2 separate regions of the Mus musculus genome follow, and region 2 is reported to be linked to region 1. The links are microRNA targets in miRTarBase. Many come from high-throughput screens and were not tested one by one. Region 1 holds a microRNA gene; the other region holds the end of a gene's coding sequence.
What was found. The annotated mature microRNA mmu-miR-669n reads AUUUGUGUGUGGAUGUGUGU and lies in region 1 at 1,951-1,970, opposite strand. An mRNA with a match to its seed (bases 2 to 7 or 8) in the 3' UTR can be bound and repressed. Matches are read on the target gene's strand: a 7mer-m8 pairs with bases 2 to 8, a 7mer-A1 pairs with bases 2 to 7 and ends in A, and an 8mer does both.

Region 1 (5,075 bases):
TGCAAACATTTGGATCAGGAATTGAAGAGATGTTTTAAAATAATCTAACTAATTCTCTACAGATGGCCCATCCTTCAAAGCAACGGCAGGACCCAGCAGACAGATTTTACAAGGTATGACAAGCAGTTGTGGCTTTCTTAATTTCATGAAGCTGGCTTCATGGTAAAGTTGCCTGGAGTTCTCTTTTAAGGAAATATCTGTAGATGGTAACAGTATTGTAAGTGTTATCCTTCCTAATAAATGCGTGCGCGCACATACACTCACTCACACATGCACACTTATACTTTGTGTTAGGTATATTAGCGATATTTTGCCACTTGTCTATTTTCTCAGATTTAATTTTAAAAATACAAGAAATTGACAACCCCGGCTGAAGGTAAGTACTGGCCTGACTATCGTGAGTCCAAGGTAGCGTGTTCGCTTCCCTGGATTATTACAGTCATGAGTTCAGGGTAGCCTGTCTGCTTCCCTGGATTATTACAGTCGTGAGTTCAGGGTAGCCTGTCTGCTTCCTTAGATTATGACAGTTTTTCCAAGAGTAACGTTCAATATGTTCTTAAATTGTAGAGCTAAGAATGAAGTCCAGTGAGACCTTTCTCATCTGTGAAAGCATCAATTACTGATACCTAAACAGGAGCTTAGTGTTCCGTAAGTGACAGCAGCTAGAGAAAACTCTGTCTCTGAACTCTGGTACTTTCCTCTGGGTTATAACCCAGTCTTTCACAGTTTCCCCTAGACTGTATTGTCAAAGCTTTTAAGTTCTAACCTCCCTGCTCCTAGCTTTTTAAAGCCGACGTTGGTCTGGTTTTCTCAGTGGCTCCAGATCTAGCCTCTCCTGCATGTGTTTTGTTCTACTGCTTCTGGGTTGAGTTCTTGCTTCTTGTGTTTCTCCATTACTGAAGAGATCACTATACTGAAGGCTTAGGCTGCCTTCTGTCACCAGGTTTCCATTTTCAAAATATATGGCATTGCTTTTAAAAGCGTCTTTGTACATTTTTGACATAGCCGTATGAAGTGCTATCATTGGCTTTGATAATAATTTGTATTTAGTTATGAAAAATCATCATAAATGGCAGGAAGAAAAGCTCGATGTACCCTTTTATTCCTATTTCTGAACTACATGAGTTTGTTGGTCTCAAGAGGGCCTGGAGGAAGCTGCTGGGCAGCTGTGACTGCCTGATGTAAAAGCTCTGCTACCCAAGAGCTCTTCGGACACTCAGCACATGAGCCCCTCCAGCTAATGTGGCTTTCAGTTGTTGGCGCATCTTCAGCTTAGTGAGCCAGGTTTTAGATACGTTAGACCATTGGTGTGTTGCAATGTTGGAGGGTCTCGATCTTATGTGACTTAAACAGACTTTATGTATTTCCTCAGAGATTTTTCTTCATGAATAGTTACTATAAAAGAGTAATGATGTGTGCTAATGAGACCCACTTTCTGGTTAGGATTACATGGAGGCAGGGACTTTCCAGCATCAGAAAAATGAATAACAGATTATTTTCACCATTTTTTTTTCATTTTTATTTCTGTTCGTACCAAAACACTAATTGGAGAATATAGAAACTTAAAACTATGTTATTACATTTAGGAGTTTGTAATGTAGGGATTTCAATTGTATTGATTTATATCCATCTTTTTCATTTTTTTTTAGTTTTTGAAACCAAAGTGTTTTTGATACATATATATGTATATATATATATTATTCTTTGGTATTTAAAGTACAATAGAGAAGTTGGTTATTTACAAGTATTTACCAGTGGAAATACACATTTCATTTTTATCTGCCCAAATGAATACCATTTGTTACAGAACAACTCAGGGCTGGTGAGGTACCTGTATAAGGACACATGCAGCCAAACCTGACAGCCTGGGTTCAGTCTTCAGGCTCCACGTGGTAGAAGGAGTAAGCCAATGCCCTCTGCACATGTGCTGTGGGATGCACATACATTTACACACACATCCACACACAAATGTAAAGATCTGCAGAGTGGTCTGCACAGAGTGAAAGGCCCGAGTGCCCTTTGCTGCGCCCTGCTCTAAGTCACACGGTGGCAGGGGAAGTGTCTTTTCCCAGCAAACGTTAAGATTTACTGTGACTCAGTAGTGCTCAAATTTTAAGCTGCTACAAAGTTTCCTTCAGTTTTAATTGGCACACATTTACCTTTGATCGTTCAGGGAATGTGACGTGAATTTCTAAGCTGGTCGCATGTCTGCCATCTTAACCAGTGCCCTGCAGGGCAGCTGTGCTGAAGGCCGGTGGTTTATGGCTTTTCTTTGTTTTTGTTTTTATTGGTACCTATGTTTATAGATTGCTTTGCTGTGTGATAAATTTTATTTATTAAAGATCTACATATTGAGTGAGTTACTGTCTTAGGTAGTTTCAAAAAGAGTTGCATATATAATTTCTTTCTTGAGATTTTTATGGTTTTCCAGGCCAATATCACTTATGAATCTTAATAGTCCTATATAGTCCTTAATAGTCTACTATGTCCTACTTAGTACTTAATTTCAAAGGTTCAACATGTATTTTCTTGTCCTAGTCAGGTAACTGCTTTTTTGCTTGGTGTATTTGAGGATAATAACAAATTTAGGTAGTGGCATGTTTTGGATAATTAATGTCAGGTTAAGTCGAGTTAGGGTTCATATAAAATTTTATTCCTTAAGCAGTATTTTAAATCACCAGCAGAGGGCTCTATGTGTTCATGTATTCAAAATTAAATTGCTTTCTTCATCTTTTTTTTTTAAAACCTGATGCTCTTTTCTTTCCAGAACAAATTATTTAACCTTTTTTAAAGTAAGAGTGAATGTTCACAGACAGCATTTAAAACTAATTTTCTCTACTCCTTCACTTTCTTTTTCTTTTTTTTTAACTCCTTCACTTTCACTGTTCTGTTAAGATTGAGCATAATTTACCAGTTAGATGTTTAAACTGGTCAGTATGAAAACAGTTATGTCAGTTTATAAATATTCTGCTACACAGTTACTACTGTACTTCTCCTGACTGATTTTTTTTCCTTGATATGTAAGATATTTTAAGTATAGTCCTGAGAAATATTCCCACTTGAGTATTCTAATCTCTCCTATGCTTTCTTTCTAGGTGTATTTTTACACATTCTAGCCGATACACTGGGAAGTATTGGTGTAATTGCCTCTGCCATCATGATGCAAAATTTTGGGTTGATGATAGCAGATCCTATCTGTTCGATTCTTATAGCCATTCTTATAGTTGTAAGGTAAGTGGTTCAGACTGCTACCATCTGTTACTAAGTGAGAGGGAGGTGACAACAGAACCAGTGGCTGGGCACCTTCAGTGCAGATTATCATGTGGGGTTCCCTTTGCTCTTTAAAACAAGTCCTATCCAAGTTCTCCTTATAGCTTTTCCCATTTATATCTTGCCTGGAGTTTTAACATTTCTTTTTGATTTTTGACATTTAAGTAGTTGATCATAATTCAAATCTTAAACCATACACTGTATGTATAGAATAAAATCTTGGCAATGTAAAGTCATTAACTAGACGATTTTAGTTTATATCTAGAACTGACAATGTCAAACCCTGGTATCAGTGTTGCCCCTGCCAGACCCATCTTTAATTCTGCCATTTCATTGGTCTTTTCGCTTGCTCACCAGCCACGGAGCTGGTGGTCTATGAAGACTGTAGGGAGGTCCATCTGCAACGACCACTTGCTGCAGTGCATTGTGTAGTTAATATTATCTTCTAAAATCCTTTGTCCTAAAACACACTTTATTGTTGGCTTCATTTTTATTTTAAAACACTAGAATTATATTCCTTTATCTTGCTGCATTTGATCATTTTAAATTTTGCATAGTGTGTCTCAGTTGGAGCATTATCATCTCTCTGTAGCTGTCCTGTCAGCAGCAGCAGCAGCTTTTGTAGGGAGATGAACGCTGGTGAGAAGTAAGACCGCAGACTTCATAACTCAGTGTTGACGAGGATTGATGGAATAGATTGCCATGGGATTGCAGTGTTAAAGTTAGAGGTGGTTGTTTTTCAGTTTCTGCCCTAAGAATAGACATACATTTTAAACATGCAGATTATTCTTTAAATATTGGCACAGGGATCCAGCTGGTGTTTGGAAGCCTTTCTAGAGCTCAGAATTCCTTTCCCTCATCTGGAGGTCTTACCACACTCCCGGGAATTAGCTTGGATGTGACCACTTCCTGACAGACTTGCTCACTTCTGTGACTACCTGTCTTGCCGTGGGTGTTTCGAGGGCACTCTGTTGTGTTGTATATTATAGTGTTAGTTGCCCCTAATGGTTATTTAAGAGTATGATCGTAGTATTTCCCTTGCTCTTTCTCCACTCATTGTTACCAGAATTCTGACCACCGCCATTGTTTGGTGTGATGACCACTTTGTCCCCTCTTGTCATGCTGCAGTGACATTTCTTTGATGCGGATTATGTGATATACTGCAATTATCTTATCCTTTTCTCACTCTTTCTCTCAGAATAAAATTCATAATCCTTAATGAGACTTCCTGATATTGTTTAATTTTGTTAATCCCCCTCCCTCCATCTCTCCTGCCCCACCTCCAATCTCTGTCTTCTCTAGTGAGTCTTTTCTTTTCAGTTTCCTAACTATGGCAATAAGCCCTCCACATTCCTGTTCTTGTCTCCTCTCTCAACTCTTCCTGCATTTAATGATGCACCTTTCCCCTCAGCTCTCTAGATGTGTGTACCCCAAGTCCACATCCTTCCTATGAAGTATCCCCCTTCGGGGAACATTTCCTGATTTGCCCTCCACACTGTGTGGAGTTTCCCTGGAGCACCTTCTACCAAAGCCCCCTTCCAAAGCATTTAGCCCTCTGTCCCGAGTCTGCTTATGTTTCTCTAGAGCTCTGTGGGGCAAATTGGTGTCCTGCTATGATAAAGTGACCATAGGGTCCTCCCAGCAAAGGAACTGGCACACTTCAGATTGGAGGTGGAAAAACTTAGGCTTTTTCACCCTAAAGAGTTATAGATTTTCTATTTCCAACTTGAATTGTTTTCCTTGTTATCTTCTTACTCATTTCTTATACAAACAAAAAATAAATAATAGATAAATTCATGCGCACA
Region 2 (5,067 bases), not on the chromosome of region 1:
TGGTCCAAGAATTGTGTTCAGAAATTATATCCACACTAGATTACATAATTTGACAACACTACAAAGGTATGTGATACCTTTATGGTTTCCAAGAAGAGGTGAGTAGAGTCAAGTGTCACAGCTGACAAAGAGCAGGCCTGTATTGAGGGACAGATTTGAAACTAAGCCTTCTTATTCCCAAACCCAGGGCAGAATTTAAACTTACCAGAAAGGGACAGTGCCATATCAACTCTTTCACTGAACAACAATGGAACATTGTTTCTGTGAATGGACTTGTAGCAATGTCCCCCAACAAGTACCACTTCAGTCATCATGGGAACTGTAGTGGAAGCTACTCTCTGAGAACTTCAATGCAAGATTTAGCTGTAAAATTCTTAACTTCAACATTTTTCAAAAGAAAAGTCCTTATTTTGTTAAACCAAACTTCTAGACCTTTGTTTAAATTATGCTAGACACACATGTGTAACTATGTGTCAATGATATATGTTTGGTAGTTGGGAATATGCTTCTCAGTTATACCTACTAAGCCTGGAAATTACTTGGCTATACTGTTTGATAATTATTAAGTAAATTATTTTACTGAGTTTCATTTGGGATAAAGAATATCCAAAGAGAGAAGGAACTTATCACATAGAGAATAGGACACAACTGACAACACAAAAGAGGCTAGGATAAAGAACCTTCTCTATATGGAAAACAAACTAAAGATCTTTATATTACTTTAAGTGATTTTCAAACCTAAAAATCCTACCTTGCCTAATTAAGTCACCAAGTTTTAATCTATCTGTCCGTCTATCTATCATCTATCTATCTATCTATCTATCTATCATCTATCATCTATACTTTTGCAGAAAAGAAATGTCAGAGAGTCTGTGATATTGAGCCATGCATACTCAGTAGTACATCTGGGACATCAACCAACTCCACCTTTAGAGTCTATGTGTTGTGCATTGGCTTCCAGGTAAACATAATGTGGCTATGAACATGACTTGAAAGGTATTGAACGAGCATTGCTTGAGCTATTTGTGGTGTGTTCTCACATCTTTGAAGCAGATTTAACAGATCCCATAGATAGAAGCAACAGAGTACCTGGCACATCATGAGCATTGATGATTTTTTAAAAGTAATTATTAAGTAATTATCTGAGATAATAATTATAAAAAAGAACTTCATATAATTTGGCATCATTGTACCAGATTTCAACCCATTCACAAGAAAGTCAACTGTAGAACTATGCCACTAACAAAACCTGAAGGCACATAATGGTATATTTTAGAACTGGTTAGAGGATAGTTATTTAGTTGAATATAAAATTGGGGATCATGGTGCAAAATGGGGTGCAACCTCATTGGCAAATGAAATGTGTGTCGAAAGTTCCATTGCTATGAGAACAGTACAAGCCAAACTGAGTAGATGAAGAACCTGATAGGTGGAAACTCTAGAAAGAAACTAGTAAAACTTAGAATCTCATTCAAGTTTTATTTTATAATTCAATGAAGCTTTGTATTTTCTTCTGTACTCTGAAGGGAAGCTTAGCAAAAAGGATACCCAAAGCTTTCTGTTTATGGGTATGTCTGAATATAATTACTAAATAGTGCTCAAAGTGTTTTGACTTGTAGAAAACACTTACCAAAGAGTTTTGATAGCAAAGCCTCCAGCAGTGTTTTTCAGTGTTTTTCTGCCATCTTACCTTTCTGGAATGCACCTTCTCCTCATCTTTGTCCATCACAGCAATCTGAACCCAAAGACCTCAGGTAGACTGGGGATTAGCTCATCTCGTGAATATGCCCTTTGGATCACTCTGGCATTAATAACGTGGTCAGGACAGCCTATAGCACATGAACGTGGTTCTAGTTTTCTCGACTTGTAATAAAATATGATGTACTTAGCTCTGTGCCCAAAATTTTTTACCAACTTTAAGAAAATAAACATGCACCATCACACAGGGTTTTGGGAAGAACATTTTATTGCTAAGCATATCCATGAACGAAAAAGCAAATGGGAAAGCAAAGAGAAAAGGAAAAAGAAAAAAGCAGGAACATCGCAACATTATGAAAAAAAATCTCTTTCAGGGTCTGCAAAGAACACAACAGGAATCCAATGAAAGCTCTCGTACAGAATGCACAAGTTCCCGTAAAACTGTCCAAATATTAACTTACACTAAAAGGAATATAACAAATGAGTATTTACTCCGATTTTTAAAAAAAAGTGGAAAGAAAGAAAGGAGAATATCAGTTCACAAGATCTCACGACTCCAAGAACAGCAATCTGTCACAGACATCGAGATATAATCAACTTCATATAGGCTGGGCCATTTATCTAAAATCGTGCTTAGATATCCTTGTACAGTCCTGTCTTTTTTAATGACAACAACAACAAAAAAAAGGAAAACTCTTAAAACATTGAAATCTCAGATAAGGAGGAACACCGCTCTCCATACACATCAGTAAAGGCTACCACTGTTTTAGACTGTGCCTTCTGCCCCATGTCTGTAAGATATTGTTTTTTCAAAGTCAAATATTCATGCAACTTACAAAGACCAGCAAGAGTAGATTTCTAAATCTAAACAGCTGATTGGTTTTCATCTGTACAAAAGAAATTGTATATGCCTGCCCCTCCAGATGACACATTGCCCTCTGTGAGAGTATGTGTCTTGCTTTATCTTCTTGCTTTTTGAATGGCTATGGCCATGAAACCAGTTTGTTTGTTTGTTTTTTTTTTTTTAATTACTCTGTACATTGTTTCCTCTTTACAAAAAGAAGACAGAAAGAGAATGGGACACAAACCAAATAAACAGACAGAAAGGAAATAACAGTTCTCAAAGCGGTAGGTACATACACGACTAAGGGATTATACCAGCAAAAATGTAGTAAAATATGTAAACAAAATCTGAGAAGTTTCTGTTGTTTGTTGTTTAAATTCTCTTTGACACAGTTAACTGTGACAAAACGAAAACTCACACTTTCTTCACATTTTAAGGTTTACTTTTTTGTTGTTTTGTTATTTTTCTTTTAAAATAACATTCTCATTCCACTTCAAGACTTTAACAGATTTCTGTGTCAGTCATCCCATCAAACATACCATGATAAATATATCTGTATATATATTTATTTATATATATTATACTATTAAATTCCTTTTGTGTGTGTGTCACAGCAGCTTTACTCATTTATTTATTTGTCTTTAAAAAAAAAAGATGGGCGGAAGGAGACATGAGGAGATGGGAAGGATTTACTCACATCAGGCTACAAAGTTAAACCATATGGAAACCGTTATTATGTTGGGGGTGGGGAAGTAACTATGATTTTTCACACTTGGCCATGACTAGGCTTGTGTGACCACTTGTGGTTGTGTTACAAGTTAGGAACTCCCTTGCAGTCTGTTGAAACAGATGCTAACATTGTCTTTTCTTTTTTGTGGGTTTTTTTTTTTCTTTGTTTGCATGCATTTCACAGATCCAGTCCACCCCCTTTCCCTTTTTTCCTTCCCTTAGAAAGGCTCTGCTTTAATTCTTGGGGGTTACATTTCCCCGTTCACACACTTTGGGTTGATGGACAGGGACAGTATTTGTTAAGTGAAACCAATAGCTCCGATAACACCAGCCCCAAACCCATCTGTTACAGGTTTGAATGGCAAATATTGGAATTAGATCTGGGGACCTGCTTTTCAAACGGCTTGTCATCCCACATGGGTTCACCAAAGCATTAGGAAACTAACAATTGGTTCTAGAGACACCACAACCTGCTACATGGAGTGAATGCCATGGTAGATTTTGAGTTCATATGGCAAGAGTCTCATACTTTTTTTCTGAGTATATTTTTTTCCTTTTCTTCTTATGTGCAGTCTTTGTCAAAAAAATAAATGAAAACCCAAAAGCTATTTTCCCCTCAGATCTTGGAAAGTTACACACACACTGGTCAGAACCAGATAAGGGTATTTCTGGGTTTCTTGTTTTGTTTTGTTTGTGTTTTTTTTTTTTAAGCGTTTTTCTTTTCTTATTTTTTTGTTTTTGTTTTTTTTTACATAATTAAACAAACAAACAAACAAAAAATAACCCAACATTGTTACAGTCAAGATTCACAAACATTATTACAGACTCACTTGGAGCTATGGAACAAGTAAGCCATATGGTCTTCTACCCCTTTCCAAATGTTCTGGAGAGAAGAAAGCTTCCAAGGTCATGTGGAGTCATGGACTTGCTCCAGGGCACTAAGTGTGTGCTTTATGATACAGCAGGGCAGAGAGAATTTTCTGTCTTCGGGCCAAGGCTACAACCTTGCAGCATGGCTCACCATTACACAGAGAGATACACCATCGTATGTGTCCTTTAAAAAATGGTTTTTCCCACCATAGTCGTGGTACACCCCATCTCACAGAACACATTCAACAAGTTAAATCTCATTGTCAAAGTATTCAGGTGTGTGTATAGAAATAATTCTGTTTTAAGTTCGCATACGACTGGTGGTGTTATGTTTACACATAATACTCCTTGTCCTTGTTTTTCTGTTTCTTATGGCCGCTCTTGGAGCTGGCTTGCTTCTCCTTCATGAGCGTGCCGTTGCTCTGGGCCGAGTTGCTGATGTAGTTCCTCGTCTCGTCCACTTGATAGGACCCCTCGTCCCTGTTCCTGTACTTGTACATGGCGTACAGGAGGATCAAGATGCAGAGGGCGGCAGCAGCCACAATGCCGACGACCATCCCTGTTGTACTGCTGGACTCCCGGATCACCTCTGAGGCCCCCGGAACCCGTCTGATTCCTGGCTCCGTGGGGTTTGCTGTGGGCACATTACGGAACATGGGGGAAGTAATTAGTGGGCTCTTCAGTTTGGTGCTGTCTAGCTCATAGGCAGTGGGCAACGGAAGCAAGACTATATCAGGCTGGGGTTTGAGATCACGGTTATTCATTTTGCCAGCTGGCAATTTGGGCACCATCCCAGACGAGGAGGACGCTGTGAAGCGGATCAGCTCAGGGGACAAAGAGGTGGTTGTAGTTCTACTAGTTTCCGAGACTTTGTTAGGTCTAAAGTCCTTGGATTCCCACTTGGGCGCATGTGCTTTGTAGCCACC

Region 2: miRTarBase lists Nrxn3 as a target of mmu-miR-669n. Seed matches in the 3' UTR shown: 7mer-m8 at 3,962-3,968, 7mer-A1 at 3,413-3,419 and 8mer at 3,138-3,145.

What each region holds. Positions count from the first base shown.
Region 1 is chr3:115,976,800-115,981,874 of GRCm38, reverse strand. Mir669n (microRNA 669n) reads right to left here and starts at 1,973; the gene lies at 1,920-1,973. It overlaps Slc30a7 (solute carrier family 30 (zinc transporter), member 7), which reads left to right. Exons shown (of 11, transcript NM_023214.7): 7 at 63-113; 8 at 3,096-3,231.
Region 2 is chr12:90,331,817-90,336,883 of GRCm38, reverse strand. Nrxn3 (neurexin III) reads right to left here. Exons shown (of 20, transcript NM_001198587.3): 20 at 1,949-5,067. The coding sequence ends at 4,474. Among named protein-coding and RNA genes, the nearest start is that of Gm40538, 74 kb to the left of the region's middle.